Linked DNA regions of Mytilus edulis. The protein of the gene in region 1 interacts with the protein of each later gene in a pairwise test. Links are inferred from orthologs where the notes say so. Each region holds a gene or a part of one and is shown in the gene's direction. Other genes may lie near its edges.

The links.
Region 2: the proteins of peroxisomal bifunctional enzyme-like (region 1) and catalase-like interact in a two-hybrid assay, tested with the Homo sapiens proteins (2 studies listed by BioGRID, with this or other methods). The link is inferred for Mytilus edulis from reciprocal best matches to the Homo sapiens genes EHHADH and CAT.

The regions. Positions count from the first base shown.
Region 1 is NC_092345.1:89,859,542-89,876,509, reverse strand, and holds the start of peroxisomal bifunctional enzyme-like, read left to right. Parts: upstream 1-7,539; 5' UTR 7,540-7,633; exon of another isoform or gene 7,634-7,780; intron 7,781-15,639; 5' UTR 15,640-15,747; coding exon 15,748-15,818; intron 15,819-16,968. Other genes in the region: F-box/LRR-repeat protein 4-like, read right to left, coding at 1-12, 4,423-4,513, 7,094-7,309. UniProt on the Homo sapiens protein: Peroxisomal trifunctional enzyme possessing 2-enoyl-CoA hydratase, 3-hydroxyacyl-CoA dehydrogenase, and delta 3, delta 2-enoyl-CoA isomerase activities. Catalyzes two of the four reactions of the long chain fatty acids peroxisomal beta-oxidation pathway.
Region 2 is NC_092353.1:84,436,838-84,453,805, reverse strand, and holds the start of catalase-like, read left to right. Parts: upstream 1-6,786; 5' UTR 6,787-6,888; coding exon 6,889-6,945; exon of another isoform or gene 6,946-7,004; intron 7,005-8,241; exon of another isoform or gene 8,242-8,333; coding exon 8,334-8,505; intron 8,506-9,459; coding exon 9,460-9,570; intron 9,571-12,447; coding exon 12,448-12,578; intron 12,579-13,126; coding exon 13,127-13,177; intron 13,178-16,968. Other genes in the region: glutamine-dependent NAD(+) synthetase-like, read right to left, coding at 36-96, 6,425-6,509. UniProt on the Homo sapiens protein: Catalyzes the degradation of hydrogen peroxide (H(2)O(2)) generated by peroxisomal oxidases to water and oxygen, thereby protecting cells from the toxic effects of hydrogen peroxide.

The DNA.
Region 1 (16,968 bases):
CAAAACTCAATTCTGAAAAACAGAAAAGATATAAACCATGTTAACTGATAACTGTATTAATGAGCACAAAAAAACCCACTGACAATTACTATAGCATTGAGACAACCACTTAAGGTAACACGATACCGAATGACGTTACGCCATGAGTTATCGTTCCTGACGTTATCGAATAACGTTCACACATATAAGCCAATGCAGCGGGTTTTGTGTGGCATTTTTAACGGTAACTTTCCCTATGTGCAGAGTGCCGAGAGTTTTGATGCAATACGTAGCGGTTATTTGACATAGATTGTTTTGTCGTTTTCCAGCCATCATTCTGTTCATTGTTAATCTTTAAAAAGTATTACTTTGATACATTTACACCACGCAGAGTACAGTATACTACATGTATTGTATGTACCAAGTCAAGAATATGACAGCTGTTTATCATTCTTTTGATGTTTTTCAGCTTTTAATTTCGTCATTTGATAAGGGATTTTTTCGTTTTGATTTTTTCTTGGAGTTTTGTTGTTTTATTTTTTGGAATGTGTATTTTATCATGATCATTATTTTCACAAATAACAGAATGTTTAATCTTTTTTGACTGGTGCATCAAATGTGTCTTTTATAAACAACTGTTTTCAAAATTGTAGTGTATCGTCCCGAACATGCATGAACTATTTGCCACTGAACGTTAAACAACCATCACACCGAGTAATTAAAAAACTGTTAAATGAATCAAATTTTTTTAAATACCATATTTCTGCATCATGGGATGCAGTGATGATACTACCATTGTCTAATATGATGGAGTTTAAAATCAGTAATTCGGATAAATCTCACGTGAAATGTTTCATTTAATTTTCACGTAAACTTAACAAAAATCTGAAGGTATTTTTTATGGTTTTAATCAAATTTTAGAACAAAGATATTATTTAAATAATTTTATTTGAAATATTTACGTGAATTTAACGTGTACAAAATTCCGGTGATTTATGCATGAACTATTATCATAAGATTCACATGGAACCTGTTCACGCAAGTTTCAAGTATATGCTCGTTTGATGTGAAAATCGGACGATATTGATATTAATTCATATAAGTGAAATTCCATGTGAAGGACGAAATAAAATTATATCTGATTCAGTAGAATTTTATATTGCATTACTAGGAACTTTACGACAGTCGACAGGGGAAATGAAAATAAAATATACTCATTCAGATCCCGACACATATGTTTTTCTCCATTCTCTGAGAAGAAATAACGTTATATTCCGTACACCATAACGTCACACGTTTTTGGTCAAATTCTAGGCCTATCGATCAACTTTGAAGCCATTTATTTCAAAAACAAGCATGGTGACATATGAGTTTCTATACGTGTCTGGATTCACTATGCAATCCTGGATATTATGTTAGTTTTTCGTTTTTCTCCGTATATAAGAAAATAGCCATCCATTCGAAAATCTAAAAAGGTAAGCCGAAAAAAAGGCATTTCCCCTATATACCTAAGTAAATTTGTCGCCAAAATTGATGTTTTCCTATGAAAATTACAAAAAAACAAAAATGGTGACCCCCATTTTTTATTACATATTCCGATGTAACTCGATTCAAAGTACACGTATGCCAAAAAATTTGGAAATCGGGAGATATGCCATTCGGTATCGTGTTACCTTAAGCTAATCTTGACAGCTATAAACAAGATTTTGATAAAAATTATCAAGCAGTTTGAAATAATGGACTACATGAAAACAATCTCTGATAATTTGTTACTTATGTTTTATAAACATGATATAATGCAAGTTTGAGGTCTAAACATTAATCAAAGAGCAGATTGCTCTGAGGGATACGATTGCCATTGCTTTCATTGATACATGTATTAGTATTATTTTCAAAAATAATTCAGCTGCACGTGTAAAATTCTCGTAAAATGTAATTTACGTAATCTGAATAGTTATTCAACTTTATAAATAGCCAATCCTCGATACAAGTGTATGAACAATGTACTTATAATTATTGTGTTTTAGTTTTGTACTATCAATTCCAAGTTAACTTTCCACAGCAGTCACTGAGAGTGAGAGAAAGTATTTTACTTCGTACCTTATCACCTATTTCATTTGTATTTTCCTACGTGAATTCTAGGTGGAACTCCATTCCTAACTCTTTAAATATTTAATTTCCTTTGGGTCAGTGGGCAGGACTCCTTTCCGTTTAGATTCCTTTGTTTATATTGCGATCGGTTTTAATATAATACGATGTCTATCGACAGAACGAGTTAATTTTTCTCGACGCGATAATATGGAAGACCTCATTTTGGCTGAAGGGGTGTTCTAGTTACACCTTTACGTTGTGAACTACATTTATTTTAATTAAAATGATGCATCATGATTTAAAATTATGCAACAACAATAACCCTCAATAGCAGCAGCTGATAGCAGACAGACATAGAAAGGATCTCGTGAGTTTCAAATTAATCAATGGAGTGGGGAATCCAGAGCAACCATTCAATCTGATACCCCTTAGGTGTTTCTAAATTTATAAAAACACTAAATATAAATACTGCTTAATTCTGATTTTCCGTGTTGTAAAAGACATCCATACAAGTCAAGGGAAATATCAAAACATGAAGATTATGAGAAGAACATTGATAATAGGACAGTTGTTTAAATTCAATCCTTTTGTTTTTTATACCATTTAAAGCAAGACAATCTCAAGTATCTGAGATGTTCCTTGATGTTTAGAATAAAACGGTTGATGTGAGGGCATGGCCCTGAGTCAATGGTATAAGGCAGATTCCAAATAAGAAAGTTGAAAAGTTCCCAAAATTATGTTTAACAATATCAACACCAATGAAGTTCTGTTTTGGAATACATGTTATACTTATATAAGTAAACACTTTTTGACCAAAAATAGATCTATTCACATTATATTTTTTAAATAAAGACCACCTTAAAAAAATGTTGCTATCATAACAAAATTGACAGACATTTTGACGGAAAATTCTTATGTTAGCAACACAAAAAATCTTGATATTTTCAGTATTTTCAAGGTTTAGATGTTTATCTTGATTTAACATGAAAGGCAAATTGGAATAAAACATTTCTGAACATCTGCACCAATAAAAAAGGAATTGGAATAACTTTTAAAACGGATTATCTTGGAGTTGCTAACATAAAATTTGACAGACATATGCAATGCTGCTAACATAAGATTTGACAGAAATTAAGTTGTTGCTAACATAAAAATTGACGGACTTTATTGTTGCTAACATAATATTTGACGGACTTTTTTGTTGCTAACATAACATTTGAAAGACTTTTTTGTTGCTAACATAATATTTGACATACTTTTTTGTTGCTAACATTAAATTTGACAGACATTATTGTTGCTAACATAAAATTTGACGGACTAAATAGTGTTGCTAACATAAGATGTTGACGGACTTGTTGCTAACATAAGATTGTGCTAACATAAATAAATTTGACGGACAATATATATTTGAGATTTTTAACCAACATTGGAGCTCTTATCCTAGTTGAAAGTCATATTAAGAACTCCTGCAAAATACCGATGCCTGAAATTTAAAAAGATTTTAACCCAGGACAGATAACTCTAATTTGTAGCACATCCAAACGTTGCTAACATAAAATGACAAGTTTGACAGAAATTATGTTAGCAACAGATTTGATAAAACTATTGATTAAATAAAGTAAATTGAAAGATCCAAAATGTGTATGTATAATGTACAAATGTACAAAAATTTTCATCCTAGCCCCCCCCCCCCCCTCCCCCCCCCCCCCCCCCCCCCCATAAAAATCAAATGGTAGCTACCTAAGTAAGGTATTAGAAATTGAAAAAATACATATCACAGATGTTTTTAACAAAAGAAAAGCAAAAGATTTGGAAACAGAGATGTTTGAATAATCAGACTACACTAATAAAAACCATTATACCAGTGTCAACTTAAAGCCTCGTAAAACATGAACCTTGTGTCAAAAAATGGGAAGTAATTTCCGTCAAACATTTCACATTTTTCAACTTGTTGTGATCATTTCTACTTTTAATGGAAACAATCATATCCAATAATTGGTTTGCTTGCTTTATATAACATTACTATTCAATAAAACATTCACATATTATCATTCAAATAACAGTAAGTATTATTTTTCTTAATTTGTTCTTTTTGACGGAAATTTTCTTTTCTTTTTGGAATCTGCCATAAGTCTACAGATTGCTTAAAAGCAATCGTATCCCAAAAATTGAGAAATGCTGACCAAATTTTTCTGTTATCATATGTGTCCATTAAATTTAATAATAAATGAGAAGGTTTGTTTTTCCCATAGATTTTGGTAGTCAAATCAAGGATTTGTATAGTAAGATCTAACTATACAAATCCTTGGTCAAATAGACTCCACTCTAAAACTATTTTGAATGTTATCTTACCAACATAATCATCACTTATGAAGTTAGGTGGTGTTCTCTTGAATTTACGAGGTGAAGATGTTACATTCTTCCACCATGGTCCGTATGTTCTCTGTAAAAGAAATCAAAGAGCTGATAGCTCTGAAGTGGAAGAAGGTGAATAAAAGGTAACTTGAATAACCATAAAAGCAGCCCCACTTACCCAGGCTGCTTTGTTCCATTATCGTTAAAATGTATTTTTTTTCTTCAAACAAGAAAAGGTCATAAGTACATGGATTTCCCATCCGTACAATCATTTTCTATGTTCAGTTGACTATGAAAATTAGGTAAAATCTTTAATTTGGCAGTAATTAAGAAGATCATATCAAGAGGAACACATGTGTACTAAGTTTCAAGTTGATTGGATTTCAACTTCATCAAAAACTACCTCGACCATAAACTTTATAACCAGAAGCAGGACGGACGGACAGACTAGAACACATATTGCCCATAAATGGAGCATAAAAATAGTAAGACTTGTTACATACCTGCCAACTTTTGAAAGTTCCCATATGGGTTTTTACTGCACAACAATTTTAAAGGTTACAATTTTTAGCGACGTATTTTGCAAGATCTGGATTGTCTAGAAAAAGTGTCATATTTGTATGATGAACTTACATGCCTTTTCCTTAAGTCTGTTTGCATGATTCTAGTTATATATTAAATCGGTAGAAAAAATATACATGAAGCTAGCAGACCAGGGTTTATTTTCCAGATTAAGAATATTAGATGCTTGTTCATGTTGTTGAAATTTCCAATTTTGAATTATGCACAAAGATGGACCTTTAACAGGTTGGGAACAACACTCCAAATGAGGGTAACCTAACTGGAAGATCATCACAACCCACTGTAAAAAATGAACACAAAATAGAATTTTTCAATAAATGCTGAAAATAGGCTTTAAAGTATTAAAATGCATTGCAAAAAACAAATATTTCATTAAATAAATTTAAGTAGAATATTCCTATGATATTCCTTTTCATATTGGATACAAATTTTATTGAGTCTACTGCAGACACTTTGTAGTCAAAGTGTTTCAACTGAGGTACTACACAGGTGTCAAAAGGCGTCATTATGGAGTAAAGGGGGTGGCGTCAAAAAGCGTCATTATGGAGGAAAGGGTTAAGTACTGAATGGTCAAAACATCATGTTTTTTTATCGACATAAATTTTGTCATAAATGTAACCAAATGATGTAGAAATTGTGTTTTTTCTTCAAATTTCCATCAAATTGTAATGTTTATAGTTCCATTATTGCCTCTCTATTTGAATAAAATAAAATAATAAGAAGAATCTGTTTCTTGTTTTGTTTTGTTTTTGACAAATGATTGTTCACTGCTAGCAAATGAATCATTATATTTATATATCTTATCTGTATATATTTTTGTTCATGTCTTCATCTCCTTATCATTTGTAAATGTATAGACAAATAAGAAAGAAATAAGCTCCACATGTATATTTGCAACATCGTAAATTAATTAAGAAAATATTCTGTTGTAAACAAAATTATGATATAAACTTCAATTTAATCCTTGAAAGGAGGTCTAGATTGCTAAAATAATTTATAAATTTTAATTTTTTTATTTGTCCAAAATCATTTAAATTCATTTAATCAACATCCCTTTATCATGTTTATGATTATTTGATTAAAATCTTAATCATTTATAGTCTTTTTACAATTTACATTTTTAAAAGCAAAATAACTGAAAACAGGATAAAACAAAGGGAAGTAACAAAAAAATATTTCAATATGCCCAATACACATCGTTTTGATAACACAACGGCAGTTAGCCGGAGGTAAACATCGTTGATTACCAGTATGTTTGACACCCAAGCTGTCAAGTGAAGCCTTATAATTATACATCTTCTTTGATGTTCAGGTAAAATTTAACACAGGTGTCAATTACACCCGTACAGTAGTAAGAAATGATCAAATATGGCGTCTGAAAAATTTCATACACGGGAGTTTTTTCTCCTAAACGGGAGGTTCACATGTATGTTACGAAGGGCATCTAATTCACATGACAAAGGAAAACCATGAATAAAGACAACACTTTATATATCCTTTTTATTTATATAAAAACAAAATCTTCTTGTCTGCAGGATTGCAAATTCGTAACTTCAAGGGCGAACTTGTAAACAGGGCGAGTTGTCCCGATACCAAATTCACGCATGCGTAATACAAATATCTACAGTTAAAACATCCTGTTACAAGTAAACAAATAACGTTCATGTGGATGAGATGAAATCTAATAATTTACATAAATAAAAGGGTCATATTTACGATAGTGATTGTTTTACAATCATAATTTACAAATTAAATGATTCAGATGCCTAATCATGTGTAAAAATCGGTGTCAGGAATCTAAGTTGTTTTGAAATTGTAATACACGAAATGAATGCGGCATACGGAGACTCAATGCCAATGGTCAGCCCCTTAAGTCTTCAGAAGACTTGACGTCTTCTTCCACTAAAAACTTTGTAAATTGCATCATGTACATTTGTAAAATGTTTTCTCTCAAAAATTGTCAATATGAAGGTCCTATAAAAACACCAAGTTTCCATACCCTATAAATTTTCATAAAAGAATTTTATGAAATTATTTCAATCTAATTTAAATGATTAAACGTTCAACTAATATCTGGAAATCTTACGAAAACAGCAGCCTGTGTAAAATCTCCATAAGCAGGAAATATGTTACTCCTTCCTGCTAGGTTGCTGACTGTGTAAGATATACTTGTTTCACTACCATACTGACTGCTGAAATCAGTCACTTCCTTTGAAAATCTTGAAATTAAAACTGCCTTTGATGTACTGCCTGGCTTGTGTGTTTCTGTTATTTTATCTCTGGCAAGTGCATTGTCAGCCATTTCTAAAATTAGAAATGAAAAGTGAAAGCGAAACTGAATAGCTAAATTCATTAGTGTCGTCCGATCATGTGTAATATTATATCATACAATAATACATCAATATTAAATTATTCAATTTAGATAATAATGAATATTATTAACGTTTTAATCAAAGGAAAAACATCGTAAAAACGAAATTTCCAAGATAAGGCCGATAGAAACACTATTATAATTGAAACTGGCATACGGGATGAAAGACCTAATTTTTCTGAAAATTTGTCTGGAAAGAGTGTTATTTTTGGAGAGTATTTTTGGGCCTAACAAAATATCAAGTTTTATTATTTTGTAGGTCTACAATGCAAATTTCACAAGTTTTATTGGCTTATTTAATCTTGTCATGAAATAGAATATACAGGAGAAGTCAATGATCAAGGACTTTATATTGTACAATATTTGCAATGAGATACATGTACCCCTCCCTTGTCCACAGGGGTATGTACCTATCATACATGTTTTCAGGGTAGAAATATATCACTGTATGCCCGTCAACTGGTGGGCATTATACATTATGTAAAAAGGTTGGCATATATTTACCCCTAAACATGATCCCGGTTGTCAACGTATATATATATGTTCCTTTTGGAACAAATATTCTATACCATTTATTCCATTAGGAGCATTTACTGTAATATTTATTCCAGTGGAAATAAAATTCCAGACTATTGTTTCCATTTGGAACTTATATTATAAAGGAACTTGTATTCTGTGACACGCTAAAATGTTAATTTAAACCCTGCCACAATCTATTTGTATGTGCCTGTCCAAAGTCAGGCCGCCAGCAATTCAGTGGTTGTGGTTTGTTATGTGTTACTTATTTGTTTTTCATTTAATTATTGAACATAAATAAGACCGTTAGTTTTTCTTGTTTACAGTCATTTCAGGGCCTTTTATAACAGACTATGTGGTATGGGCATTGCTCATTGTTGAAGGCCATACAGTGACCTATAGTTGTTAATTCCTGCGTTAGTTTGGTTTCTTGTGGAGAGTTGTCTCATTGGCAATCATACCACATCTTCTTTTTTTATATATAGGTCTATGATATGCGCCCTTGTGTATGTGTGTCTAGTCCAAATAACTATGAGGTATTGAAGTACCTTTTTTTGGGATACGATTGCTTTTAAGCAATCTGTAGACTTATACCATTGACTCAGGGTCATGCCCTCACATCAACCGTTTTATTCTAAACATCAAGGAACATCTCAGATTCTTGAGATTGTCATGCTTTAAATGGTATAAAAAACAAAAGGATTGAATTTAAACAACTGTCCTCTAATGTTCTTCTCATAATCTTCATGTTTCGATATTTCCCTTGACTTGTATGCATGTTTTTTACAACACGGAAAATCAGAATTAAGCAGTATTTATATTTAGTGTTTTTATAAATTTAGAAACACATCAGAGGGAATTCCCCAGTTTTGATAACATGCAAGAGTTTTCTTAATTCCGATCGATAAAATCTATTTCTGTCATATAAGAACTGAAGTGGAGTTTTCTTATATGTCACCGTTATGAAACTGATATTTGATATTGTACTTCCATAAAGAAATGGAGGTCGTTTAATTAACATTTAATATACATCCTTGCTACAAATCACAAGTCTAGGGTTTGTTTAGGTATGTGCATGCATATAGTTTTCTTGACTTGAAGGGGTATCAGATTGAGTGGTTGCTCTAGATTCCCCACTCCATTGATTAATTTGAAACTCACAAGATCCTTTCTATGTCTGTCTGCTAATGAGGGTTAACTCGTTCTGTCGGTTACCGATCGTGCAAGCTAGGGCTGTATAACAAGTCAACAATGGTCAAGGTCGTTCAAAACTTCAATTTTTTGTTGTTCTGTCGATAGACGTATTATATTAAAACCGATCGCAATTTAAACAGAGGAATGTGTATGGAAAGGACTCATGCCCACTGACCCAAAGGAAATTAAATATTTAAAATGTTAGGAATGGGGTTCCACCTAGAATTCACGTAGGAAAATACAAATGAAATAGGTGATAAGGTACAAAGTGAAATACCTTCTCTCACTTTCAGTGACTGCTGTGGAAAGTAAACTTGGAATTTATAGTACAAAAATATAACAATAATTACATTGTTCATAAACTTGTATCAAGGATTGGCTATTTTTAAAGTTGAATAACTATTCAGTTTACGTAAATTACATTTTACAAGCATTTTACATGTGCAGTTGAATTATTTTTGAAAATAATACTAAATACTAATACATGTATCAATGAAAGCAATGGCAATCGTATCCCTCAGATCAATCTGCTCTTTGATTGACTTTCTGTGAATCCACCATTTTCTACATTTGAAAATGCCTGTACCAAGTCAGGAATATGACAGTTGTTGTCCATTGTTTGATGTGTTTCATCATTTGATTTTGCCATTTGATTATAGCGACTTGCCGTTTTGACTTTTCCTCAGAGTTCAGTATTTTGTGATTTTACTTTTTCCTATATTGTGGACTACCCACCCCCTGTAAGAGAGACATGTAAGGAACAGTGATAGAAAAAAAATAATTTAAGGTTTAGTATGATTACTTGCTTGCGACTTCTGACTAGTACTGGCTTGATTATATATGTACATATACATCAGCATATAGTAATGTAATAATAACAAAAAAAGATTATTTTTGTTGGACGCTCAGTATTATAACCAGAATGCTGGATTGGTTTAGGAACCAATTAATTAGGAATGTAACAATAGCGCTTTGAAGACGGGCCAATCACATTTCCATGACATTCATATATATAGGTGTCTGCAATACCACCACATTGTCCATAGGACGTATTGTCCATCATGTGTCCTTGTAAAGACATATGATCAATACTTCATGTACTTAAGGGGGTTCGCGGGTCTAAATCATTTATATAGGATTTCTCTATATTTTTCTATAAATGAACTTTATCTTATAGTTAATAGAAAATTAAAATAAAAAAGTGGGATCACCGTTCATTTGCGCTCACAATCTGCCTTCGAAAGAAGCATACATTTTTGTAAAGGTGGTTGAAGTAATAGGAGAAATATAGGTAATATCGAAATAAAAAAAGAAATTTATTACAGAAATCTCTCAAATTTTACAATAATTTAGTTTAAGTACAGCTTATATGGAAATTATATTAAAAAATATATGTCACCGATGAGTTAAAAAAGATATTTCAATTTTAAAGCCAAAAAAAAGCATTTTTCCACCAAAGGGAGATAATTTGGAACTTTTTCAATGATGTACACATTTTAAATGTCATCTGGGGCCAACACGAATTGATTGTTTTGAATGATTTTTGTACCATATGATAAAGTAACAACTACAAAAAGTAATAAATAAAATTTGTAGTGAAAAACAAATGTTTATTTTTTTCTGAAATTTTTATACCCTCGAGCCTCCTTAAAGTAATTATTCCATAGAGGTTACAACATAAATATATGATTATACAACACTATCCAATGTATGTTTGTATCTGCTTGAATTCAGCTTAGGTGCTGTATTTTTACATGATCTTGATCTTCAGAAAATATTGACTAAAGCATAATTAAAACTTATGTTCATCAAAGAAATAATAATAAGCAATTAATATTCTTCTTGAATGTTAAAATTAATCAATATCTGATTACTTTGTTTTGTATTTCAAACATCTTCTTTTTTATAAACTTATTGTTTTAACAATGACAAAAATTGATCTCCCAATTTGGATATTCTTTCTTATTTGTTTTTATTTTCTCAGTTTGGTTTCCATAAGATAATAAACATCCATTTAGAAAATGATATAGATATTTTATTAAAAATTAACACATACATGACATAGGGTGTCAGGAATTCTATTGATTAACACCCTTTAACTCAGGCAAACAATCATTATTATCTGTGTATTTGAAACACTTTGTATAAACTTAGAGTTATTTCCCTTCTTTTAATATGTTTTTCAAGTTACACTTGTGAAACAGTGTGTGGATCTCTCTGAAATTGTACCAAAAGTTTCCATACCACAAAGGGATGGATAGGATTGGCTCAAACTGTTTAGGAATTAGGGGCAAAAAAAGGGGGAAAAACAAGGGTTTCTTGGTTTATGAACAATTACTTAAGTTTTGGTCTTTGGATCTTTATGAAATAGATATTGGATTATTATATAAGGGATAGCATTTGATTGATTCATGATATTTTACAGTATATAGAAGAGAACAATATTTTTGGATTACTGCTCTTTATTGATTTTGAGAAAGCTTTGATTTATTTTTGAACTTGTCAAAACTCTTTGGAAGTTTTAAACAAATTATGTGCTTTTGATGGTCCATTCAATTCAGTTGACAGTTATAATTTTTTAACTATGTATACTACTCTACCACACAATCTTATTAAACAGAATTTCTCTTATTTAATAAATGATACTTTAAAATGTCTGTAATCAAATGATTAAAGCTGTAAATTTTCATTATGACAACATTTATGTACTTTCTAGGAATAATGTTAATCAACAGGTTTAAGGTATTCCTATGGGAACTACTTGAGCCTCTTTAATAATAGACTTGTTCTTGTGTTGTAATAAATCTCAGTTGATGGCCAAATTCAGTAAAAGATCTGTCTAAACTATATTGAAACTTTTAAAAACACTACATTTAAAAATGTTTTCTGTTACATTGATGATATTTTTGCTTAGAATTCTTACATTTTACATTTTACAGCTGAAATATACCAAAAGAAACTTATTTTGATTAAATCTAATACAGCCAACAATAGTTGCACTATTTAAAGGATATCCAATTTCACACAGGAAACTCTACACATGCTATATAACAAAACAATTGAGAAGTATGTTGGTTCCTTGATTGTTAATTTTCCTTTTTTGTTACCAATCAACTTTTGTCGAAAAAGCGAGACAAAGCGATCCTACATTTCGTTGTCGGCATCGTCTTCTAGGTCGTACACAAATATTCACTCTGTTGTTAAAGTTTTTAAAATTTTAAAAACTTTCTTAAACTATCCTTGATTCCTACAAAACATGGACAGAATCTTGTTTTTGATCATAAGATAGTATCCAGATATAATTTTGTGTAGAAAAAAATCCTGTTTATCCAAGTTTTACTTATAAATGGACTTAGTTTTTCTGCAAGTTTACATAACATTCACTCTGTGGTTAAAGTTTTTTAAAATTTTAAAAACTTTCATAAACTATCCTGGATTTCTACCAAACTTGGACAGAAGCTTGTTTATAATCAAAAGCTAGTATCTAGAACGAAATTTTGTTAAAATATATTTCCAGTTTTTCCATATGTTACTTATATATGGACTTAGTTTTTCTTCCAGTTAACATTACATACAGTCTGTAGTTAAAGTTCTTAAAACATTTATTAGATTCATAAAGTAGGCAAGACACTGGGTTTCGTGGAACCCTTACAAATTTTTTGACAAAGATGTTACTTTCTTATGTTGTGTATATTTCACAACTTGTTCACTATGCCTGTGTCTGCAGTCGTGTTTTAGATATAAATGAACATTATTTATGTATAACTGATAAATTATTAAGTCTTGGTTTTCATAACCACAAATTAATTATAATCTTTACCAAATTCTTTGTTAGCATTACAGATTTGGTTAGAAAATTTGGGCAGAATCAATTTGCGCCAATTGCAGTTTTGAAAAGGTATTTATTGCGCCACTCTTTTTTATTATGATGGTATTAATTGCGCCAATAAATGAAATGAAATTGCGCCACATTTACCTGTTAATATTTTTTTACTTATATCATACCTGTACATGTTTTACCTATATCAAGACAAGACAAGACAAATACTTTATTAAAGTCTCGCCACTTGTAACATATAAAATATACAGCTTTTCAAAACACTAGTTAACAACAAGAGCCACTCTATAAAGAGTTTTGAGAGACTATAATATATATTTTTTCTTAAAATTATAATGCAAATACAAGTCAACTATCACGAGTATAAAATACATTTTGGCTTTATTAAAATTTCATAGCAGATTTTGTCAGTATAAAATATCATATTTTCGTTATCAGTGTCCAGAAATTAGAACGTCATATTTTGAGAACTGCGTGTAAAAGAAAAGCAACCAATGTGTTGTCAGAGCGACCTTCAAAAATAATAAATTCAGAGATCTTCAAAATTGAAGAAGAAAATTTAGAAAAGAAAGATTTAAAATATGTGTGTCAGTCTAGTATGTATATATAGAGAGAAGAAAACTGCGTCCGGCTTAATATAAAAATCGAGCAGAATTTCACAGAATATTGGATGATATTGGTGTTGTTACAAACAAAGATGATGACTTTGTATTGTGTAACGATCCAGAAAGCGGTATAATTTTATTAGGATGCGGAGGCTAATTTGAAATTTCAGTGTACAATGTCAGAGGAATTTTTTGCTGTTGGTACCTAGTCAATCATTTCGTTGTTATATATAGATAAAAATATTAAAATTGGCGCAATTAGATGATTATTTTATTGGCGCAAATGATACCTATAGTTTTGAAAATTAGGTGGCGCAAAAGAGGTATTGGCGCAATTAAGTTGTGGCGCAAATGAGTTACTTTTTGGCGCAAAAAGATATCGCCCGAAAATTTGCTGTTACCTGTAGTGTTCTTATAAAAAACAAGATATCACTTCCTAATGTTTACACTGATGTTGTTTATAAAGCCTATAAACTTAGACAATAATATTTAGCTTTACCCCTATGTCATTGTATGTGCAAGAATATATTATTTGGTTGTTTGATTTTCCAAAAATATGATTATGTAATTGTATTCACCACGGTTATCTGATCTATGCAAAAAGCAAGATATTAATAGATTTAACTACTTTAATTTGATGGTTTTTAAGTATATTACATATATTCTATTACCCTGTACTTGTTACTACCACAAAAGGTTTTAAGGAGGCTCGAGGGTTAAAAAAATTCAGCAAACATTTTTTTTTTCATTACAAATTTTATTTTTTACACTGTTAGTTGTTACTTTATGATATGGTACAAAAATCAACCAAAAAATCAATTAGTTTTTGTCCCAGATGACTTTTAAAATGTTTATATCATTGAAAAAGTTCCAAATAATCTCCCTTTGGTGAAAAATTGTCATTTTTTTTGCACATGTTGCATTTGAATTGAAATATCTTTTTTAAATCATCGGTGACCTATATTTTTTATTATTTTTTTTTGTTAATAACCTGTTCTTAAACTAAACTATTGTAAAATTTTAAGCAATTTCTGTAATTTAGTTCTCTTTTTATTTGGATGTTACCTTTTTTTCTCCTATTAGTTCAACAGAAAATAAGTACCTTAACAAAAATGCATGCTTCTTTCAAAGGGATATTGTGAGCTTAAATGAACGGTGGCCCCATATTTTATTTTTATTTTTATGGTAAGTATAGGATAAAGTTTATTTATAGAAAAAAGTAGCGAAATCCTTTATCTAAAAAAAATGTGATTTATAACCGTGCGCCCCCTTAATAATGATTCTTTCTCATTACTTGCAAATGGCGATATTGAAACTTTTATTTAGATAGATTAATGCAGTGAATTCTGGAACAAATATAAATCACAGTCAGGCCAAGGAGGCTTTACTTGATTGCTGATGTTTCCTATAGCTACATGAAAATATTCTACATAAATTATCATAAACTTTGTGATAACTATAGAATCATATTCAAAACAGTGTGGCTGTGGCCATTGATTGACAACCTTAATTATCCCATTGACTGGGACAGATTAGGTGAACGTTTGTCTTACTTATTATAAAATTTAAACTGTGGGGTAACCTAAGGTTCTTAACGCCTTCAATAATAAAATAATTCGAAAAATTAATCAGGAATAACCTTTATGTTTTGATTTATATTATTGAGATAAATCATAACATCGTGTTATTCCTGATTAATTTTTCGAATAGCTTAGGTGTTGAGAACCTTTGGTGACCCCACAGTTTAAGTGTCTTTAACAAGTACATAGTGAGCAGTGGTCTTTAAAGACAAACGTTCACATAATCTGTCCCAGTCAATGGGATAATCTAGGTCGTCAATCAATGGCCACAGCCACACTGTTTTGAATATGATTCTAATTTACTTAGTATTTTCATGATTTTACTGCAATGCATCAGGATTATTAGTCTTATGCTGAAACACACATTGTTATAAAATATTTAAAAAATACATGTTCATGTATACCTTGATTTTATTTAGTGTGTGTTTGTTTAGTTCCTCTTGTGTCTGAATTTCAAAATAAGATTAAATAACCATGATTATGTTAATTTTATTTTTTACCTTGGTCAATAGTTATGTTATCTTTCAGGGTTCATAATGTAGGATGTTGGGTTCATAATGTAGGATGTTGGTTATCAGTGAAGTTTGTCTACCTGAATTGACTGACAAAGTTTAACGTACAATATTAATTAGGAAGATGGTGGATTATTCAGTACATGGACAGGTTGCTGTCTTCGAAGTGAACAACCCACCAGTCAATGCTTTCAGGTAATTGGGATATTAATCTTGAACATGGGTAGATTTATGAATGCTTGAATTTTAGGGAGCTACCATTTGATTTTTATGGGGGGGCTAGGATGAAATTTGAAAAAAATAGGCAGGACAGGAGTTTTGAGTAAAAAAAAGGCAGAATGAGACACTTGCAAAAAAAAAAGTCAGGACGACAATTTAGGTAAAAAAAAAGTCAGGATAAACTAAAAAAAAAAAAGAAGGCAGGACCGAACAGAGTGAAAAATAAATAGGCAGGACAGAGATTACAGCTAAAAAAAAAGGCAGGACAAAATTTTTCATCCTAGCCCCCCCCCCCATAAAAATCAAATGGTAGCTCCCTTAGAACTGATTGACATATGAAAACAGTAGCAAATTCGAATATCAGAACTGTTTTGCATGTGCATGTGCAAAACAATAAAAATTTTAAATCTCACTATAACTGTTAAGATTTCTTTGATATTTTGTAAACAAGATTACATTGTTTTTGTTGATATTCTTAGATACTATTTATCATGTTTATGGATTTGGCTGTCTGTGAGTACTTTTCTTTTGATTATAAAAGTAACTCATGAATATTTGTGACAAAAGTACACTGAAGAGTCAGTATTTCAACCATTTTAACTTAGTTATGCTCTAGAGATACTAAGAAGGAATCTAAAATAAAAATAAAAGGATGTGGTATGATTGCCAATGAGACAACTCTGTACCAGAGATCAATATGACATAGAAGTTAACAACTACCAAATCCATCATATCTCATTATTTTGCAAGCTACGAAAGAAAAAGAAATCAGTTATCTTTTATTTCTATCGTTTGAACATTCACTATGCTTTATTCCTTACTCTCATAAGTTGTTTAATTATTGAGATTACAAATGAGTAGATGACATTCAGATTAGTTTGTCACAATACTTGACATTTTATATCATACATGTATCTAATTTTTTTTTAAAAGGGCTAAGAAATATTTAAATGGCTTAGTAAGTTGTTTTATTTATAATCTTTATATTTTGAAATCTGTTACTGTGCTTATCCAGTGACCTTTGGGGTCTCACAATAGCAATGGCTCAAACAGTTTACCAAATTGCAGTTAGGTTTCTTCTCCAACTAACTGATCAACTGGTAAAATAATTTAGCAGATTGCTCAA
Region 2 (16,968 bases), on another chromosome or scaffold:
CAAATTGAAATTGTTCTGCGTCATATTATACTAACGTTATCTCCAGCTCAGGGCCTAATCTGTAAGTTGCACCAAGCTCTTTAGCCTTTTGAATACCTGAAAATATAAACATCTAAAATTAAGACTTTTAAGGGAAAACAATTGTGAGTTCAAAGCTACTGAATTAGCTCCAAATCTGATTCATCTTAGCCATTTCTGTTTTCTAAAAATGTGATATAAAATGGAAGTCCTTAATAGCTGTAAATAAAATAATATACATAACTTATCTCATGTGAACTGCCTATTTTCAGGGAAATGTAACCAATAGTTTTGTTAATTGTCATTTGTTATAGTTCATGTAGTTTAGGAATAACAACAAAATATTTTTTTTCTCACTGTCAAATTCAGAAGTCACAAACAGTCAAGGATCGAAGACTTGAAGTGCTCATCAACTTGATCAACAACAAGTATTTTAGTAACAGTTTTTTTTAATAATTGAATAAAGATTTGGAGGGCAAACATTTACAATGAAATGATTTGAAATGATTTTAAGGCCACTTTTTTTTTATTTGATGGTTTACGGATCCGCCGACCCTGTTTTTCACGATTTTAAAATAAAAATAAAAACGATTTTGAAGATTTTTTTTAATTCCGCCGACCCTTTTCTGTTTGAAGAAGTACAAATAAAAATAAAAACATGAATGATATAAAAAGATCGGTCTTTCTTCTTCCAGTCGGAATACCCTCAGAGTGGATTCGAAAATCCCGTGCGGTTCCCTGTTCAGTCAACGTTTCATCATGATCTAATGTTGTGAAAAGGAACCTGTTGAAAGGCGGTTCCCTGTTCAGTCAACGTTTCATCATGATCTAATGCGGTGAAAAGGAACCAGTTGAAAATGGAGGACCAAATACGATTTTACAATATTTACTTAGATTTACACATTAATTGTTTGAGATTTTCGGTGTAAATCTAGCGGTTGAACAAATTGAACATCGCAGTCATGAATAATAAAAATGAAAATTATTTTTGAGATCGTTTGGGAATTTTGGTTTAAAAGGTCGGACCAGGGATCTCCATGGATGAAAATTGAACGATGGAGGAACTTTCACCATTACAAACCGTGTCTACGCTGTACAGTGTAGCGCGATCGGAAGTATTTTATCCCTCCATACAAGGAATGGTGAACATGCTAATTCATTGCTTATTTAAATTATATTTATTTGAATTTTCATTGTAGAATTAGAAGTATCAATATTTTCATTTATTGCCGTTTTTAACCATTCAAATGCCAATTCTTCATGGTCCCCCCCCCTTAGTGTAGAATAACCAAAAGCTGTCATGAAGGTCCCCATGTAGATTTCAATTATTTTTGGTAATTGTTATGGGGGTTAAAATTAAAAATCATATGATGTGGAGCTTATTTTTCATGAACACTGTCAAATTCAGAACCCATTACCGGTATGGCTGATTTGCAGCAATTACAAAACGATTCGTACGGGTTATGTAAAAGGTTAAAGAGATTTTTAAAGCAAACGTTGACAAATGAAAAGGTTTTTAATGACTTTATCTGGCAAATTGAAGCTGTGCAACATGCATCATTCGAGTCTGAATAGAAACCGGAAACGCCAATGTATCAATTTGATTGTAATATACGAAATGAATTCGGAATTACGATACGATATTTCTTTACAGGAAATATTTAAGTTTTTACCCTTAAACTTTTAAAGTAATTCTAACTCATCGTTACAGCAGTTCTTGAGTTATTTGCGATGAAATAATATTTACTGTTTTGCGTCTTATTTTGTACTTCTTAAAAAAAGGTGATGCTGATTGCGTAAGTCAAAATAAAGTTGTGTTCGACTTGTTAAACTGTTTATTTGTAACTGGATTATTAATTAATTTATTTAATCTAAATTATCATAATCATTTGCTGAAACTATGTTGATTAATTCGACAAATGGATCGTCTATCCTCAGATAGTATTCTCCTGTCTGGTTTGTTGATCTACCTGTACAAGCTCAGGTACAAGTGATTAGCGATCTTAATCCGGATATCCCTAAGGCGTTAGAACTGTATTGGATTATAACATAAAAAGCCTAAGGGTTATGCAATTACATGCATTTGATTATAATTGATAAAAAATGGCGTTGGGCTACACAAAACGATGAAGTTTTGAACGATGGCGGAAGACAATTAAGGATGGCGCAAGACAATTTAACGATGGCGCGAGTCATTTGACGATGGCGCAAGACATTTGAACGATGGAGGGGCGCCATCGTTAAACAGGCCATGGAGATCCCTGTCGGACCACAGCTAATTTGAACCCCTGTTTCAGACAGTCAGTGAGGTTGATGGCGGGTCAACTTTGGTTCCAAACTTCCAGTGTCGATCAGAAAGTCTGAAACCCGTCGAAAGGGGCTGTTTTAGTTCCATTACACATATGAGGTACTAGTCCAAATAATTATGACATCTGGCAAGGCTTCCTGGCATCCCAGATTTGTTTTTAAATAGCCTTGCCAGACGTCACTATTAAAAGGGAAGGATCTTTTAACTTGCTGCCAGGGATGGGTGTCTGATTAATTGGCCTTGTTATATAAATACCTAAATACCATCCCACGGTACCCATTAAGATTTAATGGAACAAAGATGGGATATGGTGAACAAGATCCCAACACAAAATCAGAACATGTATTACTGTCATAGAATGCCTGACAATTAAAATCACTTCGACATTTATAACAAGAGGCTCTCAAGAGCCTGAATCGCTCACCTGAATTTTTTTGGTTTAATCTCTCATCAATGATTATTTTGGCTTTTCAATTTATTTAAATGTTCTTTGAATCGTCCTATTTTCTTCAAAAGCAAAAAAAAATCATTTTCTCCTATGTTCTATTTTAGCCATAGGAGCTATGTTTCTTGACATACAAGGAAATGAAATATAAAATTTATACTAGATACTCTGAAACTCTGAAACTCATTTAGCCTAAGTTTGGCTGAAATTGATACAGCAGTTTCATAAGAGAAGATTTTTTAAAGTAAGTCAACATGGTGAACAAATTGTGAAAAAAGTCTTTAAAGGGCAATAACTCCTAAAGAGGTCAATTGACAATTTTGGTCAAATTGACAATTTTGGTCAAATTGACTTATTTGTAGATCTTACTTTGCTGATCATATTTGCTGTTTACAGTTTATCTTTATCTATAATAATATTCAAGATAATGACCAAAAACTGCAAAATTTCCTTAAAATTACCAATTAAGTGGCAGCAACCCAACAATTGGATGTTTGATTCATCTGAAAATTTCAGGGCTGATAGATATTGACCTAATGAACATTTTTACTCCATGTCAGATTTGCTCTTAATGCTTTCGTTTTTGAGATATAAGCCAAAAAACTGCATTTGACCCCTATGTTCTATTTTAAGTAACGGCGGCCATGTTTTTTGACGGATCAAAAATCAAAGCACACACTTTGTGCAGGATAATCTAAGGAACAACCATGCTAAGTTTTAACCAAATCCATTCAGTAGTTTCAGAGGAGAAGATTTTTTAAAGTTAGCAAATATGATGAACAAATTGTGAAAAATTGTCATTAAAGGACAATAACCCCTTAAGGGGTCAATTGACAATTTTGGTCAAATTAACTTATTTGTAGATCTTACTTTGCTGATCTCTTTTGCTGTTTACAGTTTATCTTTATCTATAATAATATTCAAGATAATGACTAAAAACTGCAAAATTTCCTTAAAATTACCAATTAAGTGGCAGCAACCCAACAATGGTTTGTTTGATTCATCTGAAAATTTCAGGGCTGATAGATCTTGACCTAATGAACATTTTTACTCCATGTCAGATTTGCTCTAAATGCTTTCGTTTTTGAGATATAAGCCAAAAACTGCATTTGACCCCTATGTTCTATTTTAAGTAACGGCGGCCATGTTTTTTGACGGATCAAAAATCAAAGCACACACTTTGTGCAGGATAATCTAAGGAACAATCATGCTAAGTTTTAACCAAATCCATTCAGTAGTTTCAGAGGAGAAGATTTTTTAAAGTTAGCAAATATGATGAACAAATTGTGAAAAATTGTCATTAAAGGACAATAACCCCTTAAGGGGTCAATTGACAATTTTGGTCATATTAACTTATTTGTAGATCTTACTTTGCTGATCTTTTTTGCTGTTTACAGTTTATCTTTATCTATAATAATATTCAAGATAATGACCAAAAACTGCAAAATTTCCTTAAAATTACCAATTAAATGGCAGCAACCCAACAATGGTTTGTTTGATTCATCTGAAAATTTCAGGGCTGATAGATCTTGACCTAATGAACATTTTTACTCCATGTCAGATTTGCTCTAAATGCTTTCGTTTTTGAGATATAAGCCAAAAACTGCATTTGACCCCTATGTTCTATTTTAAGTAACGGTGGCCATGTTTTTTGACGGATCAAAAATCGAAGCGCACATTTTGTGCAGGATATACTAAGGAACAATCATGTTAAGTTTCATTCAAATCCATTCAGTAGTTTCAGAGGAGAAGATGTTTGAAAAATTGTTAACGACGACAGACGACGACGACGACGACGACGACGGACGCCAAGTGATGAGAAAAGCTCACATGGCCTTTTAGGCCAGGTGAGCTAAAAAGGGACAATCACAGGACACTTCGAGATATACATGATATAAGCTAATACTTAGCAGTGTAAAATAGCATAAAAAGCCTAAAAAGGACATGTTTTCATGTACCACATATGAAGGCATATGACATGCAGAGCACATATATGGTATTTCCTCAATAAGAATGTATTGTGTTATGAGGAATTTTTTCCCTCCCTGATCTAAATTTGATAAATAAATACACAGAACAAAGAGAAATGCAATTGGAAAAGACACTTCCCTTTCATCAGGAACATGTACATGTATATATATATATATATATATATATATATATCTGCTTTCATCAATCTACATTGACATTGGACTCCTTGTAACACATTTAATTTATATTAAAACAGCAAGAATTAATACCAAATTATGAAACAATCTGCATACATAATTAGTATAATACTATTATATAGAGTAACGTCATTGTTTGTTTCTCTCCATTTTTGGTAAAAAAAACCAGTATTAATTCAAATTTTTATTTTTTAATTTTTTTACGACCTCCTACCCTATATTTTTTCATTATTTTTATTTTTAATTTTTTTTCGACATCCTACCCTTCCAACTAATAAAAAAAAGTGGCCTAATGACAGTATTGACTTAAAATTTTATAGCAATAGACAATGCAACTGCATCTTTTGATTCTGTATGTGAACAAGATGTATTAATTTTACGTAAAATATGAAACAAATTAAAAATTATGATATGAAATTTCTTCAAATTACCAAGTTTCAGTCGGTACCTCGAATGACCGAATAACACTGTTAATATCCGAATAACACTTATAATGACCGAATAACACTTGGAATTTCATATTTAGCACATATTGATGACTTTTAAACATTGATTATTAATTAATAGTATATTATCGATGTATTTTATAACTTATAAATGATTTACAGAAGGCAGATAAGTTCATAAAAAACTTTTAAAATTTAGTGTGTACATCAATATGGCGACCACAGAAATTACAATGCCTGCCATGTTCGATGTACACACTAAATTCAAAAGTATCTTTATGAACTTATCTGCTTTTTGTAAATCATTTTTAAGTTAAAAAATACATCGATAATACATTATTATTTTTAAAATTATCAATGTTAAAAAGTCACCAATATGTGATATTATTGTATAGCAATATAATATTTCCCACAGAAAGTAACCAAAAGTTAGCGTGCAATAAATTCTAATATTGCACTAGTGCAATAAATCGTAAAAATTATGACGTCATCAACGACAAAATCTTAGTTTAAACCAATTTTTACTTTCAAATATTATATTGCTATACAATAAAAGGGTTATTGCATGAATATTGTCCCTCGTAGAATATATATTGCACTCGCAAGCTCGTGCAATATAAAATTCTACTCGGGACAATATTCATGCAATAACCCTATAATATTAAAATTTCAGTGTTATTCGGTCATTACAAGTGTTGTTCGGAAAATAACAGTGTTATTCGGTCATTACAAGTGTTGTTCGGAAAATAACAGTGTTATTCGGTCATTCGTGTTACCCAGTTTCAGTTAATATTCATGTATTTTCTTGTAAAGTAATTCAATATTATCAACAAGTGTAATACTCATATCATTTGGCATACAACTATGTTCTAAATATGGGTTTAATTTGTACCTGTAAAGGCTATTTAAAAAGATAGACTTAAGCATTCTGTTTTCAAGACTAACAAGAGTGTGAAAACGTGCATATGATGATATGTTTTGAAGAAGAAATGTTCACAACTTTAGTTTTATAATCAGCTCTTTTTTAAATCTTCCATACTTTCTATTATTCTTGACAAATTCCCTTCAAAGTCCATTGCCCATTGATTCAATGTGCAAGTGGCGAGTGTCGCCGTTCTCCCCATTTTGGAGACCCTCTGTTAATCGTCAAAACCGACTCAAAAATTATTGATTATCAACTTTCTTTTTCGGACACCGGAAGTTGTCTATAGAATGTTTGATTAGTCCACGTGTTACTGTTGAAACTGTAAATTTTTTGTTTGTTTATAGTTCTTTTCAAAATAACCAAAATTTATCAGTAAATTGATAAACGAAAGAAATAAGATTAAGTATATTCTTAATGCTAGAAAAGAATGGCATTATTTACATGATTAAAATAAAAAATGGCAAATCGAACGCGACAAAATTTATCTTTTGACCTTGACCTAAAGTGACCTAGAAATTACACAAGTACTGTTTGGACTTCGTGCAGTGTGTAAAACTGGAACTTGACAGGTTAACAAAATGGCAAACAGAGACAAAGCAACAAACCAACTTCTCAATTTTAAAGAATCACAGACGGTATGCTCTTTATATTTACAAGTAATGTACTGTGATGATATAGGGTCTGCTTTGGAACTGTTGTTAGCAGTGGCAACCCTGTTTTCAGGACATTTACGCTGCACTTTTAGTTTTACATTACATAAAAAAAACCCACAACTTTAAAATTCATTCACTATGCATTTCCTATGTCACAATGTATTAATGGGTAGGTTTTATATGTGCACAATGATTAGAATTATATGTTCTATATTCAAGATATTAGGTGTAGAACTCACCAGTATTCAGAAAGGGGGGGGGGGGGGGGTAGGTGGTGGTAGGAGGGGTCCTGATCCCAAATTAGGCTTATAAACATGGAATCCTGAGGTCCCAATTTTAAAGAAATTTAAATCCCGAAATTCTAAAAATGAATACCCGGATCCTGCCGAAATCCAGAGCTTAAAAACACCCGATTCCAGAGTCCTGATAAAGGTTCTACCCCCTCTTAGGAGATAACTGTATTTGTGGTATCGTAAATTAATCTCTGACGGCATTAATAGGTGATTTAATGGGCCCTAAAATACGTTTTGTAGTGAAGCGTTAGCTGAGCCAGTAAACATGGTAAACAGGTATTTGCAACCATCAAATCTCTAATTGATGCTGTCATAGCTGAAAATACAATATTATTATCTCCATTCTAATGAAACTGACAAAACCATGTCAAATATACATTTGAAATTTGTCTGCGTTTGTGGGTGCTTTTTCATATCATCAATTTGTGAATTAATGTTATGAAAATTTGTGATGTTATTCAGTTATTAGATATCCAATCAAAATGAATGTTAGAAACAATTTTGCATTAGAATTAGTTTTTAAATATGTTCATGATGTTGTTGTAATACAACATGTACATATGATACAATTGTATGCAGGTTTATTTGTCTATGTCTTATACAACGATTGACATGAAGGTCATCAAATGGAACTCTTTCATAAAAAAAACAACAACTAGAGTTTGGTATATGCAATTTTGTTTCAGCCATATTTTCAAATGTTCCGTTTGATCCATGTCATCAAATGTGATGGAACCACTTGAGTGGTCTAATTGTAGCATGCTTACGGCTCTGTGATAATAGAATATTGTTTCCACAGCAAGAGTTAAAAAAGACACAATTATCATGATTAAAATGTCTCAAGCACGGTGTTATGTTTTAATTTAGCCTTCCACATCATTCAGCATTGTTTTTGTTCAGAATTTTGTATTAATAACTACTGTGCCTTAATCATGTTAATTAAGAATAAGCAATCTATGATTTGTAAAATTGTTCTAAAATTCAGTACATTCAAATCATGTTTGTAAAGAGATAAGGCAAAACTGACAGACAAGAGTAACAAATGACTAAAATTTTAATGTTCTTTTTTCCTTTCAGAAACCTGATGTCTTGACAACTGGAACAGGTGCCCCTGTTGGCACCAAAACAGCCACAATGACAGTTGGACCAAGAGGTCCAGTCCTGTTACAAGACTTTGTCTTCACAGATGAAATGGCCCATTTCAACCGAGAAAGAATACCAGAAAGAGTAGTACATGCTAAAGGAGCTGGTACATATATTATAGTATTAATAGGAATCTATGATTCAATGCTATACTCAAACACAATAAACATTATTAATGCTACATGTTTATCTTTCAAACTTATATTCTGCAATTACTAAAATTTAAGCAGTTAGTGCTTTGACATAATCATCACATAACCATTCATGTTCATATGTGTAGAAGGTTTAAATTTGTAACCAATCTTGAAATATTACAATGTACATGATGTAGATTACATTTGCACATGCTGCCATGTTAATAGTTTTAAAGTAAATATATTAACATGATTAATCATACCTGCATCTACATAGCATATTACACAATTTATTACAATTAAATAATTGCTTAAAAAAGTAATTTAACTTGTTAAACATGACTATTGTTAAAACTCCCATTCATATATGTCTTATTGAGAAAAAAAATATTGTACAAAAAAATGTATTAGCATTTCCATGTATGTTGTATATCATTTTTGATCAGAACATGAATTTTTATTTACACTACAGCTCATGTCATTTTCATTTTTCTAAGTGTAATTAACATGCACATATGATTAAGTTATACATATATTTACATGGCTTCTAGATTGGATACTGTGGATTCATTCAAAAGCCAGAAAAATCAAACATCCATGAAAATACAATTTTTTCTCAATCCATGAAAATTGATACCCATTAAAAATAAATAGATTCACAATAAAAAAAATCTTTTTCTCTCATCTTAAGAATTGACCCAATGAGCTCGAGACATGAAGCATAAAGATCTACAATTTAACTGTAAACAGTAACCAGAATTATGACCACATGTTCCAAAATGTCCTCAGTGCTCTTCAACTTTATATTTTATTTAGTCTTTAGACTTTTTTTGATTTGAACTTCACTGATGAATAATTTTACAGGAATGTCATTAATAAGTGTTAGTGAGATCCTTAGTTATAACATATTATGACTTATTTTACAGGAGCATTTGGATACTTTGAGTGCACACATGATATTTCTAAGTACTGCAAGGCAAAGCCATTTGAATTTGTTGGTAAAAAGACACCTCTGGGAGTGAGATTCTCTACAGTTGGTAAGTGGCATTTTTACATTTCTCTAATCCCTTTCTGCACGCATAATATAAAAAAAATAATGAACGCGTGGTTCGTTTGATCTCAGTTCTTCATTGGTTAAAATCTGATTATGACGTTGAATACTCTTCTTTTCCTCTTAATTTCCTATTGTGACGGCATGAAAAAAGGCGACCATGCCTGATGACGTTACATAGAAAGAACACATCTTTTTGCAGATCAGTCGCAAAGAAGCAATAAGTTAGCCTGTGTATTGTTTGAAAATCATTAGAAAAACAGATTCCACCACCAAATCTCGTGTTATACGATATTTATCCACTCTTGACAGTTAAATTTTGAATATTTAAAACGCTCAGCAAGCCTCGCGTTTGAAATTTGAAAATTTAACTGTTTGAGTGAATAAATATCGTATCACACTCTATGCAGTGGTAGAATCTATATGTATTGCACCACATGTTCCTCAATTTTATGATTATTTTTTTTTATTAGTTAGTTCACATAGTGAACACAATTCATGAAGAAAAATAAAGTGTTTTGCTTTATCTTCTAACAGTATTTTTTTTTCTCATTTAGAAATGAGCATAGAGCATGGTGTCAGTGTTCCAGCTAGGTTTTCAAAAGGGCAGGGTGCCAATCCTGAAAAAGGGCATTTAACGCGCGATATGATAATATGAAAAGGGCATATTTTAATAAAAGATGTTAATCAAACATTTGTGTTTATTCGTTGAATCACAGGTTATACAAGAACAACATCTTTAGCCCATATAGAACTCTATCTTTCTACTTTTAAGGCTGAAAAACTTGTCAAGCAGCTTGTCACACAAGTTTTTTTATCATTGCTTGGCACAGTTGAACTTTATATGCAGTATGTTTTGAAAGGAGATCTGTTTCATACTGTTTCTATGGTCTACCACATTTTACCAGTTTCACCTTTCTACCCCTGCTGTGCTTGATGGCAATACAGCACAAAACAGCTGTGCTCAGTAAATTCACAATTTTAGGATATAAAGCAACAGTGAAAAATAGTATCAAAAATAAAGACTACAGAAAAAGATGACCAAGGCACCCTACCAACACTGCTACTAAGACCCTCTTTAACTTTTCCCATAACTCAAAATAAATACCTAAACATATATATTCTTAAGCAAGAAGTATGGAGACACATTTTAGAATATGTAAATGGGTTACTTAATGCTAGGAAAAAAAATCAGATTGAGTTATCTTTCTTTATTCGGGTGTGCTCCTTCTTTGGAGGATTATAAACAGTACGTAAATATGATGTAAATATGATCACAATATGGCGGATGATTTTGTTATTTTCGTATCAAAAATGAAGGCAGTCAATGACAAATACGTCTGAATTTTCTGTTTATTTTACAGAAAACAAGTAAAACAATGTCTTCAACGAGTTTATAATGGTTTTCCAACTTTCTGTCATTACGTTTCTTCCATGAAACTACGGTAAACATCGCAAATTGTGCCCAAGTTGTTGTATGCACATTTCTTCAAAGATAATTGCCGACTGACCGATTCTATTTGAACGAATTAATGTTGATGATCATAATGACCCATCCGATCAACGGATTACCTATAACAACAGATTATGACACCAGTTGTAACCATTGATTAGCTTGGGGTGGTAAACAAAGTCATAATCTTTTCCCCAGGTAAAATTTAGTAATTAGCGTATCATATCAATACGCAAATTAATATGCAATCGATCTTCAAAAAAGGCAGGGCGCCCTGGAAACTGTAAAAAGGGCACAGGGTGCCACTCGGAAAAGGGCGGGCGCCGCGCCCTCTGAAAACGGCCTAGCTGGAACACTGTGGTGTGATAGAATTATTTAAAATCTAATAGGAACATTTAGGATCTTCAAGACATTTTTGAAAGGCAACCATTTAAAATATAAAAAAGAAGATGTGGTATGATTGCCAATGAGACAACTATCCACAAAAGACCAAAATGACACAGACATTAACAACTATAGGTCACTGTACGGCCTTCAACAATGAGCAAAGCCCATACCGCATAGTCAGCTATAATAGGCCCTGCTAAGACAATGTAAAACAATTCAAACTAACGGCCTTATTTATGTAAAAAAATGAACGAAAAACAAATATGTAACACATAAACAAACGACAACCACTGAATTACAGGCTCCTGACTTGGGACAGGCACATACATAAATAATGTGGCGGGTTTAAACATGTTAGCGGGATCCCAACCCTCCCCCTAACCTGGGACAGTGGTTATAACAGTACAACATAAGAACGAACTATAAAAATCAGTTGAAAAAGGCTTAACTCATTAGATGGACAAAAATACAAGTAGACGTGGCCAAAGACTTACAGAGATCTAGATCTTGAAACAACCATTTCACAATATAAAAATAAACATGTAATCTTACTTTTAGAAGGATTTTATTTCATTAACTAGCAACACATACACTTTTGTCCATTTTGATTCCCTGGCTTGTTTGAAATGTAACTGACATTGAAATTTTATTGGGAGTCATGTGCGTTACATGTTCCAACATGGCTCTGGTTGCCAAGCAAAAGAAGCTGTAAATATTTAAAAAAAAAAGAATAAGTTACTTTTTTACATGTAACTATTGAATGATACATTGCTACATGATTTTATACCGAGTTAGCTCCCATATTCAGTTAGGATTTGACTTTATTTTTATTTATCATGTTTTTTTTTGTCTTACTGATTTTTATTTTAAATTATTTTTTAAGAACTGAGAGACAATTTTACATTTGAAGTGATATTTTCTGATTTATTTGAAATAAAATCAATTTCAGATTATTTTAAATCCAGTAAAAATGAAAAATTTAGAACTAGAGTTATCTCCCATTACACACTGTTTTATTTTTAGGAGGAGAAAGTGGTTCTGCTGATTCTGCCAGAGATCCCAGAGGATTTGCTGTAAAGATGTATACAGAAGATGGTAACTGGGATCTAGTGGGGAACAATACACCAATCTTCTTCATTAGAGATCCTATGCTGGTATACAATAGTCATATCAGTTAAACTAATCCATGATTCATGGGCAATAGGTCTAAGAATTTTATAATATGTTAAAAGTATAACTTATGTAATAATACAGCAAATTCCTTTACTTATAAAATAAGGTGATGTGAGGCTTTGGAAGAACAAAGACTTGGAATATAAATAACTACTGGTCAGTGTATGAGAGCGACCTTCCATGCTTTAAATATATATATATAGAAGAGAACCAACAATTGGAATGAATATAATGGATACCGAGAAATTGTTATTACAATTTAGTAAATTGAGTTACAAATTTATTGTGATAAATTAATTTGAAAATATTCTACAGTGTTCTAGTAGTACAATTATGGCAATTTATATTATGGAATTTAAAAGGAAATAGTGATTTTGTCAAAAAATTATATTGTTTCTTATGATACATGTGATGTAAAATCAGTCAGAATTTCTGACAATTTCAGTTTCTTTCTAAACCAATCTTTGCCCTTTTCTATATTGACAAGCTTGTTGAGTTATTGCCTACATTATATTATTTAAAATTTCAGTTTCCAAGCTTCATTCATACACAGAAGAGAAACCCAGAAACTCACCTGAAGGTAAAAGACATATATGGACCATAATTTGGTATTCGGCCTTTGGTTTCTTTTTGTATCCTTTTTTATACGACCGCAAAATTTGAAAAAATTTTCGTCGTATATTGCTATCACGTTGGCGTCGTCGTCGTCGTCCGAATACTTTTTAGGAATTAGGGGCAAAAAAAGGGCCCAAATAAGCATTATTCTTGATTTTCGCACAATAACTTTAGTTTAAGTAAATAGAAATCTATGAAATTTAAACACAAGGTTTATGACCATAAAAGGAAGGTTGGTATTGATTTTGGGAGTTTTGGTCCCAACAGTTTAGGAATAAAGGGCCCTAAGGGTCCAAATTAAACTTTGTTTGATTTCATCAAAAATTGAATAATTGGGGTTCTTTGGTATGCCAAATCTAACTGTGTATGCAGATTCTTAATTTTTGGTCCCGTTTTCAAATTGGTCTACATTAAGGTCCAAAGGGTCCAAAATTAAACTTAGTTTGATTTTAACAAAAATTGAATCCTGGGGGTTGTTTGATATGCTGAATTTAGAAATGTACTTAGATTTTTAATTATTGGCCTAGTTTTCAAGTTGGTCCAAATGGGGGTCCAAAATTAAACTTTGTTCATCAAAAATTTAATAAATGGGTTCTTTGATATGCAAATCTTACTGTGTATGTAGATTCTTAATTTTTGGTCCAGTTTTCAAATGGTCTACATTAAGGTCCAAAGGGTCCAAAATTAAACTAAGTTTGATTTTAACAAAAATTAAATTCTTGGGCTTATTTGATATGCTTTATCTAAATATGTACTTTGATTTTTGATTATGGGCCCAGTTTTCAAGTTGGTCCAAATTAGGATTCCATATCAAGTATTGTGCAATAGCAAGAAATTTTCAATTGCACAGTATTGCACAATAGCAAGAAATAAATAATTGCACAATATTGTGCAATAGCAATTAATTTTCAATTGGAGTTATCTTTCTTTGTATAGAATAGAAGTTGATAATATATGTTTGCCAGACATGACTATGATGTCATTTTCTATTTTTATTTGCCAATAACTTTATGTAAATAACTTCATTGGAAATTTGCCAATATAAAATGTTGCTGATGAAGCTTTTTTTCCTTATCTTATCTAAAATGTTTTTAGATAATGTATGTTGGACATTTGCCAGACATGGACTATGATGTCATTTTCTATTTTTATTTGCCAATAACTTTATGTAAATAACTTCATTGGAAATTTGCCAATATAAAATGTTGCTGATGAAGTTTTTTTTTATTGTTTTATACAATAAACAATGTATATTCACTTTTACCACCAACCAATCTTTACCATTCAGTGATAACAAGCACTTTATTTTACATTTTAATATTTTATGATGTATTTAAAAGAGTAGTTATTGTTGCAAACTCCATTAGAAATTTGAATTGATATCAGTTTTGGAAAAAGGGAAACGGGGATGTGAAAAAAAAGGGGGGGGGGGGGGGGGGGGGGGGGGGGTTTAAATTTTTCTCATTTCAGATTTCATAAATAAAAAGAAAATTTCTTCAAACATTTTTTTGAGAGGATTAATATTCAACAGCATAGTGAATTGCTCAAAGGCAAAAAAAATATTTCAAGTTCATTAGACCACATTCATTCTGTGTCAGAAACCTATGCTGTGTCAACTATTCAATTTTAGATTTAAAAAGTTTGAAGAAGAAATCTTTAATTGATTTGTAAAATCTTGACATTTGTTTTGTGTAAAAAAAACATGTAATGTCAAAAATTTGATCACAATCCAAATTCAGAGCTGTATCACGCTTGAATGTTTTGTCCATACTTGCCCCAACTGTTCAGGGTTCGACCTCTGCGGTCGTATAAAGCTGCGCCCTGCGGAGCACCTGGTTATAAGTTCTAAAACTTTAACTTTTATTCTGTGGGTTGTGTTGGTGTTAGAATAGTATTAATGGAACAATTGAGTTTTTCAAGAAAAAAATAATACATTTTGATTCACCGTTTACGTGACAGGAAACCAATCTTTATTTTCTTTATTTTGCACAATATATTTCAAAAGACATAAATGAACACCATTACTAGTGTTACTTGCTTCATGTTAATATTTAAAATCTATTTTCAATGTTAAATTAAAGTTTTTTTTTAAAACGCGACAGGAAACCATAAGAAACCGAAAGCATTTTTTTAGTTTTATTTTATTGCAAAATCTGCTTAAAATAATCTGAACAGTATACTTTTTCTTAAAATCCATCTTAAATGTAACAGTATTATACAACTCCTAAATATGTGCTTGTTTTGAAAACAATTAGTACAATTTATTTAGAAATTTCCATATTTTCTTCATTGATACAGGATACCATAATCGTTGTATCTTGATGTTTTAGCCAAAAAAATGTATTTATATTTGGTTTTGAAATTCCAGTTATATACAATTTATTCCAAATCATTGGCAATGTAAAATTCTTTAAATCCAGTAAAGAAAAAAACTTTTAACTTGGAATTAAAATCTTTAAAATAGGCACCATGTGATATTTGTGACCTGTACACCATCTACATGGTTTCCACATTTTAACCTACTTTAGTGGGCTAAAATCAATAAAGTACTTCCTTTCAAGTCATGCATGGTAAAAGTTTACTTCTCCTTTGACAAGTTTATTGCGTTTCTGAAAAGTGTTTGCAGAACATGAATAAAAAAAAATAATTAAAAATTGTGACAAAGATACCAACTTTGTACATTCCAAGTGTAACGGTATATTAACATGTATTTTTTATTAAATTATCTTTATTCACCTAAAATATCCAGTAATATTTACTGCTGAAGCAAAATCAATCTAACGATCATCGGCACAATGATAAGAGACGTAATGTCTATTGAATTTTCCAAGAACCCTTTACATCGTTATCAGGAAACGAAGTGTGTTATAACGTCGGTCAAATCTGAAATCGATTTTGTCAAGTCATTTGGCATTTATTTTCACACAAGATCGTATGTAACATTATGCACATAGGAAAAATAATAGACCCCCGTCGCAATCTCTTTGAAAATTGTATTTTCCTTTTTTAAACAAGACGAAACAAGTCTACAGATTATGTTTGCTAACATCCCGTTGGAAACAAAAACAATGTTTAGACCTAGTATTTCATACATCTGGCCGTAAGGGCGTGATCACATGTTAGTCACATGTTTCACTTATGACCGGAAATGATTAGAACTTAACGACAAAAACAATTTTAATAAAAAAAATGATATAACTGGACTTCTGTTTCGTTTGAAATGTAACGCATAAAGATAACGTCATTTTCTAACTTAATTATTACGAAGAACAAAACTAGAATGTAAATCATCTCTGATTTACCTGTTTGAACATCTCGCGAGAGTTCATATTTGCATATTGTTATAAAGAATTCTATTACAACAAAGCAGATTACATCATCTAAAATTTGCGTTACGAAATTGGAAACCAAAGTAACGCTCGTGTTCTTACACCTGCTACAGAAATACTTACAGTTCTCGGCATTTTCTTCTCACTATTCTTATTGGTCGATGTTCTTTATTATTTGAAAGCAAAAGTTACGAATTTGCCGGTGACGATTATCTATAAATCAGTCAGCGTTATGCACTTCGGAAGCGAAAAGTAACGCGAGAAACGACACAAAAATACGGTTGTATAATCTTTAAAATTTGTTAATTTCAATTTTTTTTCTAGGGAAGAGTAGCATACACTTGTATGTTGATAAAAATAAAGGCATCTTTAGATGTAGTTACAACTTTTCTTACAGTAATACACATTTTTATCACTTTTCTATAGT